Linked DNA regions of Rhinolophus ferrumequinum. The protein of the gene in region 2 interacts with the protein of the main gene of each other region in a pairwise test. Links are inferred from orthologs where the notes say so. Each region holds a gene or a part of one and is shown on either strand. Other genes may lie near its edges.

The links.
Region 1: the proteins of LNX2 (region 2) and LRRC8E interact in a two-hybrid assay, tested with the Homo sapiens proteins (3 studies listed by BioGRID and IntAct). The link is inferred for Rhinolophus ferrumequinum from reciprocal best matches to the Homo sapiens genes LNX2 and LRRC8E.
Region 3: the proteins of LNX2 (region 2) and MAPK9 interact in binary tests that used the Homo sapiens proteins (3 or more experiments, as listed by UniProt). The link is inferred for Rhinolophus ferrumequinum from reciprocal best matches to the Homo sapiens genes LNX2 and MAPK9.

What each region holds. Positions count from the first base shown.
Region 1 is NC_046301.1:56,866,816-56,870,560, reverse strand, and holds the start of LRRC8E (volume-regulated anion channel subunit LRRC8E), read right to left. Parts: upstream 2,180-3,745; 5' UTR 2,090-2,179; intron 1-2,089. UniProt on the Homo sapiens protein: Non-essential component of the volume-regulated anion channel (VRAC, also named VSOAC channel), an anion channel required to maintain a constant cell volume in response to extracellular or intracellular osmotic changes.
Region 2 is NC_046287.1:99,650,134-99,653,878, forward strand, and holds the start of LNX2 (ligand of Numb protein X 2), read right to left. Parts: upstream 2,779-3,745; 5' UTR 2,649-2,778; exon of another isoform or gene 2,583-2,648; intron 1-2,582.
Region 3 is NC_046307.1:3,356,170-3,359,914, forward strand, and holds the start of MAPK9 (mitogen-activated protein kinase 9), read right to left. Parts: upstream 2,405-3,745; 5' UTR 2,245-2,404; intron 1-2,244. UniProt on the Homo sapiens protein: Serine/threonine-protein kinase involved in various processes such as cell proliferation, differentiation, migration, transformation and programmed cell death.

The DNA.
Region 1 (3,745 bases), on a different chromosome or scaffold from region 2:
TCCCTTTTCAGTCCCTTGGTTCTTTGAAAGCCTTGGTGTGACTCCTGGGTGAGGACTATGTAGGAGTGGATGGAGATACAGGACGCAGGTGCCACCCACTTAATCCCATCATAGGCTCCCACCTCTGTACCAGAAAGGAGATGGGCTCACAAGTGGCGGGCACACACCTGCCCACACCCAAGCTTCAGGGCCCCTGACTCAGGCCCTGACTCACCCAGCACCAGGCACACATAAGGAGGTGCACAGAGAACACAAGATCCTTCACGCAATGTCCCATCTGTCATGCTCAGTTTTATACCATCCTAAACAAAAAACTGAATGAAAACGCCCCAGTGCATCCCCGTGGATCTGTCACCAGGGAATCAGATAGAAACATACCCAGGGTATCTCAACAGCCCCCAGTGGCTGACAGTACATTGCAGCCTCCAAAAGGGACACCTGGGGTCATTCTGAAGTGTGCACATTAGTGCATGTGGGCATGAATGCAAGTACACACGCTGAGCTGAGGGGGCACCCAGGGCCAGGGAGCCACCACACACTTGTCCAGTCCCAGTCACCCACTGTTGCCCCTGCCCTGCAAGGGACACTGCTCGGCTACTTAACCTAAGAACAGTAGCTCTGGGGGCTACAGCAGAAATGCCACACAGAGTCGGGGGCTAACTTACTGCCTGAGTCCCTGTCACCCTCCAGGACCCATCTCATTATGGTGCAAGCTCCGCCACCTGCCATCCCAGGTCCACAAAGGCAAGAAGGCAGAGAGCCCCAAGGTCCCCAACAGATGGCCCAGTGGCTCGCATGGAACAAGGTGCATACACAGCACCATCAGAGGCAGACACGGGGGGCTATCATTATGTGTCTCCATGACTCAAACTCAATTATTAGAACCTGCCATTAAGATTCCGCAGACACAAGGCTGGCCCCCCCTTTGTCTGAGCAGAGCTAGTGGGAGGATCCGGAGAAAAGGGCTTTCGAGATGGGGAAGGGCCCCAAGAAAAACAACAATGCAGATATACATGCAACTTAAAGCCACCAGACGCTTTCAATGCCTCATTTTATCCCAACTCGGTGAGTGTGGGGACACTTTTTTCCAGACTCAAAGGGAGAGAAGTAACTTGCTCAAGGTTTCACAGCTACAAATGGCATTTGAGGCGCGACCCCTATATCCCATCTGTCTGATTGCATCCACTCTGTTTCAGCTAGGGAGAAAATTTCTCACTGAGACCAGCATCTCTGCCAAAAGAACCTCAGTGAGGGTTCCAGCAGAGGAGAGCTGAAGGGATGGCAGCTCTGCATGCCAGGCCGGGGCGGGGGCAGAATCTCTGCCAGTCTAGGACCAGGTGTGTGCCCCCTACAGAGCCCTAGCTCCGCCCATCCATGCCTGACTCTTGCTTCTCCTCTCTCAGGCCTCCCGCAAGCCCCCAGCTTGCCTCCAAACACATGGTGGAGGTGGATGTTCCTGCTCTAGTCCCTGTCCCCACCCACAGCCCACGTTAAGGGGCAAGGAAGACACCGTGGCAGTTGTCAGCCCTGGAACAGGCCTTGGAGAGCACATTGTCCAAACTTCGACTTTTACACAAGGGAGAAACTGAGACCTGTGTGGGGGAAGGTGGTCCCTTCATAGCAGATCTTGGCGGAGGCCCCATGCCTGGGGACTCCCAGCCTAGTACTTTTCCAAGCTGCCCTGCCAGGATTTGGGGGTCTGTGGAATCTTGAGGTTCAAAGTCCCAGAGGGGGCAGCTGGTGAGACCCCCAAGTGGTGGTTCTGAGGCCTTGAGGGGTCACAGAGATGAGTTGTCTCTTTTCTCAGCGGCCAAGGAGACCGGAACATGATCAAGACCCCTGGGGTCGCCCCCAGCCTGTTCGTCTTCAATCGGTCCTTGGCCAGGCGTACCTGGGCCTCTGAACAGCGTCCTTGGCCTGGCCAGGGCCTACCCTCTTTCTGCCCCCACTCCCTCCCCAGCTCCCCTGCGCCCCTGACGGTGGCGGCGGGCTCAGGCCACAGTGCCAGCCAGCACCTGGGGCGGTCCTCTCGTGGGCCCGAACCTCACGCCGCCATCCAGTCCCCAGGGGCGGAGAGCCACCTACTCACCGCTCGGGGCGGACGCTGGGCCCAACTCCTGGGTCCCTGTAAGCGGAGCGGTCGGGGCTCCGGCGGAGTTAGTTCCCGGGCCAGCCTGGGTGAGTCAGGGCGGGCGGGACAGGAGCCGGGAGCCGCCCCACCCGCCCCGCCCACCTGACGTCTCGGCCCTGCCTCCCTCAGGGCGCTCCCAGGTGGCCCCCGACTCCTGGCGCCCGGGGATCCCTGGAGGAGGGCGACCCTAATCCTGGTCTTCCCGAGGTGGGCCAGGGCCCGGCCCCAGGAGCAGGGCCTTGAACTCAGGGCTTGGCTGCCATGGGGCAGAAACTGGACTGGTACATACTGAAGGGGTCGGAGGCACTGCGCACCCAAAGTCAGCCTGCAACATCCTTCTGGGAACCTGGGGAAGGCCTCCTCCTGCCCCCACCCCAAGGTGCAGCCACCTGGTTTTGAGGAACCTGCAACCAAGGTCCACGGGAGAGGGAGGGGGCTTCCCTGACCACCCACCCAGGAAAGCCAACCTGGGGGGTAGGGTGGGGAGGTAAGGGGAAGGGCGTGGATGGGAGGTGCTCGCCTGTCCGACCCTGCCCAGCCTTGAGGCTGGCTTTCCACTGGGGGAAGATGGGAGTTAGCTGCTCCCAGGTCCTTAGGTGGGGGTGGGGGGGTGCAGAGGCCAGAGGGGCTCTGGGTGCTGGGGCTAGAGTCCAGTCTGGGAGGCTGGCTTCTAGAAAGGATGATTCTGCCTCCCCACCCCACTCTTCTCCCTCGTGCTCACCCTTTCCTCCCTACCCAGGGAGGCTTGCTCTCGGTCTTAGACTAGCCAAAGGACCGATTCAGCCCACAGGTCTGTGTGAATGAACCTTGATCTGCTTTGTCTGCAAAACAAAGAGGATTTAGACTAGAGTGGGAGCGTGAGACCCCTCCCCCACTTGGCCCCAGAGTTCACCAGATCAGCAGCCTCCTGAGACCTGATACCTTGAAGGTTGGAACGCCCTAAACTTAGGTTCCTCTGTGAAACCCTGCAATGGGTGCTACCCTCTAGGACTCAACCTCTGTAAAGTCCTGGGTTATCCTCTCCTTCAATGGCCTCTTCTTGCCTCCAGAGAAGCGCCTTGGTTTCCATGCCCTGAGGTTTGTTTCCAGCTTGGTTTTGGAATGAACATCCAGCTTGGCACCCTTATGCAAGAGTCTGAGGTCACTGGGCTGGAAGCCTCATTAGCCCCAGACACGGGTCCCTTCTGTTCCCTGCTGTGTCCCCAGCACTTGAAATGGTGCCAGACACACAGTTGTGGGCATTCAGTTAATGATGGATGGGTGGATGATCGAGGTGTTATCTTAATTGTGGATTTTCTGGTTGCAAACCCTGAGACAAAGAATTGGGTGCAAATAGTTCATCTGGAAGGTGATCCCCGCTAGCACTAATGGTGGGGCAGTGGGGAGATGAGACTGGGAAGGGAGGGGAGCAGCAAGCCTTAATGAGGGTACATCAGTAAGGATGAATGAGAAGGTTGCTACTGTGGGCAACCGGGGCTCCCTTCTTCTGAGGAGCTCTGGGCAGTGGTGGAAGGCACACCTCCCCAGTTGTCCCACCCAAGGGACGAGGGAGTTGAAATATTGATGCGCAGGTCCTGTCTGTCTTGGCTGAGGGTTGCTCTGGAGAAGGGGGAT
Region 2 (3,745 bases):
ATTCTAAGCAAAAACATGTTTTTCTAAGTTTTATTCCCCAAACCCTATGTAATAAAGAACCTAAGGAAAAAAGAGGTCACATAGTGAGTGACAGAACCAGATTCAAACTCAAATAAGGTGACCTGAGAAGCCTGAACACTTAACCCTTACAGCATAACAGCTCCTACCTTGTCTCCCTACCTCCCCCCTGGACCCCCACCATCCTCCAGACTGCTGCAGATATCTTTTTGGAAAACGCAACTGTTATCGTGCCATTCTCCTGATTAGAATGAGCTCAGTATCACTGGCTGAATAAAGTCCAATTTTCTTAATTTGGCATTACAAAATCCTTCATGCTTCTGTTGAAGTCAGTTCAATAAACATTTGAGCATCTACTGTAAGCAAGGCAAAGAGCTAGGTAAGTGCCCTGAAATGAATAACACAGCAGCCCTCGACTATGATTCCAACCCCAGACACTGGACTTCAGCCAGAGTAACTATAATCTCATAATGCAACACCCTCCATGCCAGTCCCCCACATTTTGCCAGAATGCACCTGGCAAAATCCCACACCAATTTGAGGCGTCAGTGCCTGTGTGAGGCCTTTTCTAACACACTCCAAGCAGACATGCTCCCTCTCTTAAATTGCCACTGCACTTTGTTCAAATTACTTTCAAGTAGCCGTAGCCAGTGGAACAGAGGTATGGATGGATCAGCTTCCAGTGGGACTGTGACAACTCAGGGGAAGAGCTGACTGCTGCCAGAAACGCCTGGCATGCAGTCAGCTCTCTACCAATTGCTGAATGAATTAAAAATGAAAAATGTCTAACCTGATGAGAAGAGGAGAGACAATATACAGAATTAGGAATGTTAACACACAGGGGGGCCAAATTAAAAGTAGTGTTATTCTACCTTGGTTCCGATTTGCCCTACATTTTACCCTTAGGGGAAAACTCACATGTGTAACTTGGACAAACTAAAAAGGCAAAACTTTGTTATTCGTGGCTCAACAAAGCTTTGACAAGCCAAAAAGGATATCAGATCAAACAAAGTCCATTTTCCAAAGAGGTGTGGAGATGGGAATCAAATCTATCAAAGTAAATAAAATTGATCTACTAAGATCCAACTTCATCAATGCTGTGTCACAATACACTGTAAGAAAAAAAAAAAAAAAACCTGTCCTGGATGAAGGCTAATTTACAAATATGAGCTATGATCAAAAGATACGGTGAATATTTAAATTAAGAAAATTTATTACAGTAAAAGACACATTGCCATTAATTCCCCTCAAAATACTACCCCTCACTTCAAATACACTTATCCCATCATTCTTGTCACTTTCTGGAAGTCCTCTTTCATGAGTATCTTTATTTCATCGTCCATCATGACAACGCTCTGTCACACTTCGCTTCTGGCACGGCAATTTCTATCAAATAAACACATAACAGTGTGTCCTCATCCACCTTATTCCCCGGATCTGGCACTGTGCGACTTCTGGCTCTTCCCCAAAGTCAAAATGACCCTGAAAGGTAAACGTTTTGAATCAATTCAGGACAACGAGGCAGCCACAACAGCGCAACTAAAGACACTTACGAAAGAGGACTTCCAGAAATGCTTCAGAAAGTGGAAAAACGATGGGATGAGTGTGTTCAAAGAGACGGGGATTGATGGCAATGTGTCTTTTACTGATTTTTTTTTTAATTTAAACATTCACCATATATTTTGATCACACCTGGTAGGTACTACTGCGGCAAGAATGGAAAGTTCTTACAGTGAAGACAGTTCCCATAAACCGGAGCTCACAACTGTCTCTTGCACTGTCACTGCTTTTCACTCAACTTTGTTTCTGGTTCCTATGATTTAAAAATATCTATACAGAAACATCTATACAGTTAAGCCCGTGTGTGAGTGTACTGTAGCTCCTGCAAGGTACAGACGTCTTGATTCATAGCCTTAGATGTAAAACTGAAATAGCGAGAAAAACACTACATACAGCCAAAAGTCCTTCGCCTAAAACATGACATAAAGCTTCGCAAAGCGAGTGATGTATTTCCTGAATGGTGCTTTGTGTGCAACTGCTTCCAAATCAAGCTCCATATTTTAAATCCCCATCCCCCCAAAAGTCAAATCTCTCTCCCACCCTCTCTAGCCTAAAGGGAAAGGTGAGATTTACAGGCAACAGTTGGCTGGGATGGAGGGTATGATCTCTCCCCATTCCTTTCTAGGCGAACAAGATGCAATGTAAGGCAGCTACTCACAGTCTCACGACAACATACACACAGGAAATAAAAAACAACTCATCCCCACCTCTCCCTTCCTTTAAAAAAAAAGTCAAACGATGCAAAGATCAGCAACACGGCCGCCAGAACCACCAAATGGTAACAGTCGGGGGCCGCCCGCCTCTCCCAGGCGCCTGCCGGGCGGCGAGCACTGGGCGCAGAGCAGCCGGTCCCTTCCTCCCCGGACAAGCGCGGCCAGCCCACCACACCCCGGCTTCCCCCGCAGCCCCAACAAGCGGGGAGGAGAGTCGCAAAGGAAGGCTGCGGCGCCGCTCCCACCGCCTCCCGGGCTCGAAGCTGCCCCACACCCCACCGACGCCCGCACCTGAGGCGGCTGCCGGGGACCCAGCGGGAAGGCGCGGAGCGAGGCGGGCCAGGCAAAGTTACTCACTGGGAAAGAGAAGCTGCCCCAGGCGCGCAGCGGCTCCCGGCGCCGCAGCCCAGAGTCAGCTCCGCTCTCCGCGGCCCGCTGAGGGAGCCCGGAGCAAGGCGGCCTCGGCTCCGCCGGGAATCGCCGCCGCCGCCGCCGCCGCCGCGGATTTCCTGGCAAGAAGCAAACTCTGGCCAAGACTTCACTTCTCAACCGCCCCTGCTGCCTTCCAGGGGGCGAGCGCCAGGGCCCAGCCGCCCAACCCGACACGCACCTGGACCAATCGGCGGCGGCACGGGGCGGGGAGAGGGCGTGTCAGAGAGCGGCTCCGCCTATCCGAGGGCTCAGGGGGCGGGCCTGGCCGGGACCGTCATTCCCGGGTTAGAGTGAGCCCACTCCGCCCCGCGCCACCTGCCCTCCCCCACCGGCTCCCCGCTGGGCTCGCCAGCTAACCCTGCCGAAGACAGGCTCCAGAAGTGTCTCTGGGCTCTCCGCTGACAGCCGCCAAGAGCGTAGAACAGCCGGGAGAGGCAGTGAACATCTAGGGGAATAGGGGGAGAACAGGTGGCAGGAAAGCAGAAATGTAGGTGTGCTGGGCGAGAGGACAGCTGGGGTAGGGTGGTAGGGACGGGGGTTGACCAGGGAGAGGGGAACTGGGAAGCAAGAAAGGGAGGAAAAGGTTATTAGCGAAGAATACCCGTGGGGACGGAGAGAGGAGAGGTCGAAGGAAGAAGGGGGCGGAGAGCGAGTCTGGGTGGAAAGGTTGCGGAGGCGGGGGCAGAGACAACAAAGGTGAGAGGGAAGTTTCGCAGGTGAGTAGGTGGAAGAAGCCAAAAGGGCAAAGGGAAAAGGAAGTCCAAATCGAGGGAGGACGTACTCTGGGGGTAGAAAAGATCCTAGGAAAGGATGGGAGGGAAAAGTTTCCTTCCAAACTCTCACTCCTCCGGCAAAAGATAGACAAACATTTGTCGTTTGACCCAGCTGAGATGTGCAAAGATTCCCCGATGAGACAAATACCTTCTTAAACCCATCCTATTATGTTGTGAAATTCAAGGTGTATTGATCAACTACAGTTTAAGTTTGTCGTCCCATAAAAACCCCCGAGGGTTGGGGTCCCG
Region 3 (3,745 bases), on a different chromosome or scaffold from region 2:
GGCTGGTGTTGAAATTAGTTCACACAATCACAAAAGGCCAAGTACAAATTGTAATCTACCAACAAATTATGTAAAGTCCTGGTATCCTGAAAATTAAATCCTCAGGAAAATCAAAGTTCTCCATAGAAGAGAACCTTTGATCCTTCAATAATCCTATGCCAAAATAGGATTATTGTTAACCAGGAAGGATCCTTATGAAGGAAAAAATAAAGAGTTAAATGAAGGAAAACACCTAGATTGGATGTTGTTCTTCCAGAACAACTTAAAAGCCAAAGAATACTCACAGCTGAGGGACCCAGGAAAGAATGATGATCTGGGGGAGACCTGGGTTCAAATTTCACCTCCCAGTAACCTGCAGTAAAGCAGACTACTGAGATTCTGTGAGTCCCCATTTCCTCTGTAGAAATGGGTTTCATAGCTGCCACTTACAGGGCTCCAGTGACAAGTAAATGAGAGTACCTGGACAAACTAGCTCCCTTGGCCTCAGGCTACCTTTCTAGCTCATTACAGCTCTTCCCGCCTCAGTAACTTGCCCTAGAAGTTGATAATCCTGCAACCAAGCTTAATGAAATGTTTTTTGCTTGGCTCACAGAATTAAAAAAAAAAAAAAAGGCTAAATTAGCTACTGCCAACAGTTAAAAAACTGGAGAGTAGAGTTACAAATTTAGAGTTCAGGCTTCTTTTTAAAAATTACTGGGTGAGGTCTGGTTCTCGAGTCCCGTTCCCCCCTGCTGCCCCCCAATGTCTTACAGGTGGCCCTACGGGCTGATTCTTGACCCCACACTCGCTAAGCTCCCTCCTTCTCCCTGCCCTTCTCCAGTTCTTTGCCTCTCCTTGCCTGGCAAATTTCTCATCACCCTTCAAGGCCCAACGCCAGCATCACCCGTCACATTCCCTACATTTCCGTGGCATAATCCCTCCACTACAGTGGGCATCACACCGTCCTGGCACTGTCTGCGTGTCTGCCTTCATGGCTGCATTCTCCGGCTCTCTAGAGGAAGGGACCTTGTCACTATTGCCTTTGTGTCCCCAAGGCCGAGCAGAAAGCCTGACCTAAATAATGTAGAATTCAGTAAATGCCTCCTGAATGTGTGGAAGGAAATTAGAGCTAAAACATTATAAAAATGTATGATTTTTCTATCATAGCGTGTTCTGAGTGTTACCAAATAAAGGGGTCAAGAACATTAAAATGTTTCACAAAATGAGAACAAGCTTCTATCTGCTTCCATGTTTCACAAGTTAGTCGGAAGTCATTAAGTGAACAGATAAAGCAGAGGTAACAGGCAGGCAGGGTCATTCATTCATCCACTGAACTGATACTACTGAGTATTTACTGTGTGCTTTCTAAGCACTGAGGATAAAGCAGTGGGTAAATCAGACAACTACCTGTTCGCACAGAGCTACTGAACAAAATGATAGATAAAATGACTAAGGGATGAAAGAGGGTGGTCAAGGAAGGCCTCCTGTTAAATGAGACATCTGACCAGAGGAAGAACCAGGAGCCAGATGTGCAGATCCTGGAGACAACTGCAAGCACTGGAAACACCAAGTGCAAAGGTCCTAAGGTAATGGGGCTGCATGTTTAGGGTAGGTGGCTGGGATAGGAAAGCAGTGTTCTGGTCGGGGTTGGAAGGGGAGGTGGGTGGGACCCACTCTGGTCTTGCTGGGTACCGAGTGAGCAATGACGAGGCACAGGAGGACGGAGATGGGGGACTCTGGGAGGACGGTGAGGGGTTCCTGCCACACTCACACCGGCAAGGGGCAGTGCCCCGCCCAGTTCTCCAGGTTTGTGCACTGAGCTCCAGCCCAGGCGCTTTCCCACACATTCATAGAGCCTGACAACAACCCTGTCCCAAAGGGCAGGCACTTCCCCACTTTCCCGAGGGGAAAACCGAGAACAGCGAGCGTCAGTGCCATGGCCAAGGTCGCAGGAACCAGACCCGGCTCCTGAGCATCCCGGCATGGGTGTGCAGCTGCGTGCCGCACATTCGGGAGAGGTGGCGCCCACAGACCCCACCGGGGGCCGCTAGGAGCCGTGCCAGCAAGAGCCCGCAGCCCCGGGCTGCTGACAGCCGGCGGGCGGGGAGACTGCGGTAGCCCGAGGGACAGGGGCAGCAGACGGGCCTCCAGCGGCCGCAGACCCCGGCCACACCGCCCACGCCCCCCGCAAACCCTCCCGCCGCCCTTCCCGGCGGGGCGCGGCCCGAGCAGCCCCCGCCAGGCCTAGCCCGCCGCCGGGCTCACCTCGCCTCCCGCCGCCGCGCCGGGGGAGGGAGCGAGCGGGCAGACTGCCGGCGCTGGCGGCTCTTGCCCCGGGCTCAGCCGGCCACCCCGCCCGCTCCACCCCGCCGCCGCCGCCGCCGCCGCCGCCGCAGTGGGTGTGAGGGGCGCCGGGGCGATTCGACCCTTCCGGTCCGGCTCCCTTCGCCACCGCCACCGCCACCGCCGCCGCCGCTGCCGCCGCCGCCGGAGCCCCACCTGAGCGACCCGCACGCTGACCAATCATCGCGCCGAGAAGCGGGCCGGCGCGGCCAATGGTACCGGGGGGCGGGCCGCTGCCGAGGGGCGGGTTGCTGCGGAGCGTCGGGTGGAGCCCGGCGGGCGGAGACCAGGGCTCGGTGCGGGTTCCCGTGGTTCGGGCGGTGCGCGGGGGGTCTAGAATTGCAGACACGATCCGGCGTTCCCACTGAGTGTGCTGTCCCCCACGGGGTTCGCAACGCGGTGGCTGGATGCGGAGCCGGGAGGCGGCGGACCGGCGGGACCGAGAGCCGGGCCTCGCGGCTGCAGGTGCAAACTAGCAGCGACGAGGCGGTCTGGAGGGGGACGGAACGGCCTGGAGGGGGAGAGCCAGGGGCCTCGGTGCTCAGGACCCGGGCGTGTGATGGCTCCCGGGAAGCGGAGGCGGGGCGGCGAGGGAGTGGGGAGGAGAGGTGGGTCCTTGGACTCGCTGTGAACCGGATTGTAGGGATGCGGCCAGAAGCGGGGGTTGGGGGGTGGGATGCCGAGGAGATGGCCATGTGCAGACGAGTGTCCCCTGCCGGTCATTGGCAGAGGGAAGGAGAGAACAGGCCGGTGCACTTGGTCAGAGGTCAAGCCTGTTTCAGAGGAGGGCAGGGTCGTAAATGGGGGGAAGTGAGTGCAGTGCTGAGGGCCCCCTAGGGCCTGGGGTCGGTTGACATTGATATTTTGAGGCACCTCCCGCAGCCTTGCAGCCCCTGGGTCGAGTTCCAGACGGCCTGGCATCCTCTGAAATGATGGGAGAGGCCAGGGTACTGGGTGTTGCCCGGTCGTTTAGATAAACAACGGTGGAAATGAGGCCAGGAGGCCGGACACATTGGGGGTGGGGGTGGGGCGCAGAGGTCCTTAGATGGGGTGAGAGGACTGTTGGAGAGTAGCTGTCACAGGATGTCTGGGCCTACAGGGTGGCCAGTGTGGTGGACAAAATGGGGAAAGAAGCAGCACCTTGCATATGGGGAGGTCAGGAGACAGGAGGGTATGGAAGGTGGTGACAGAATTTGGGGAGGGCGGCAAGCCTGTGACCCAGAGCAGGCTGGGGGCACCAGAGCCTCAGAGGAGGGGTGGGGTAGAGCAGGGGATCCAGCCATGCTATCTCTCTTAGGCCCCCCTCCTTGGCCACCAGAGGGAGTTTTCTGAAATTGCGTATGGCCTGATCGACTTCAAATTGGAGCTCCTGAGTGTGACCTGTATTGAGGAGGGTCCACAAAGGTCCTCCCACCCCTCAGCC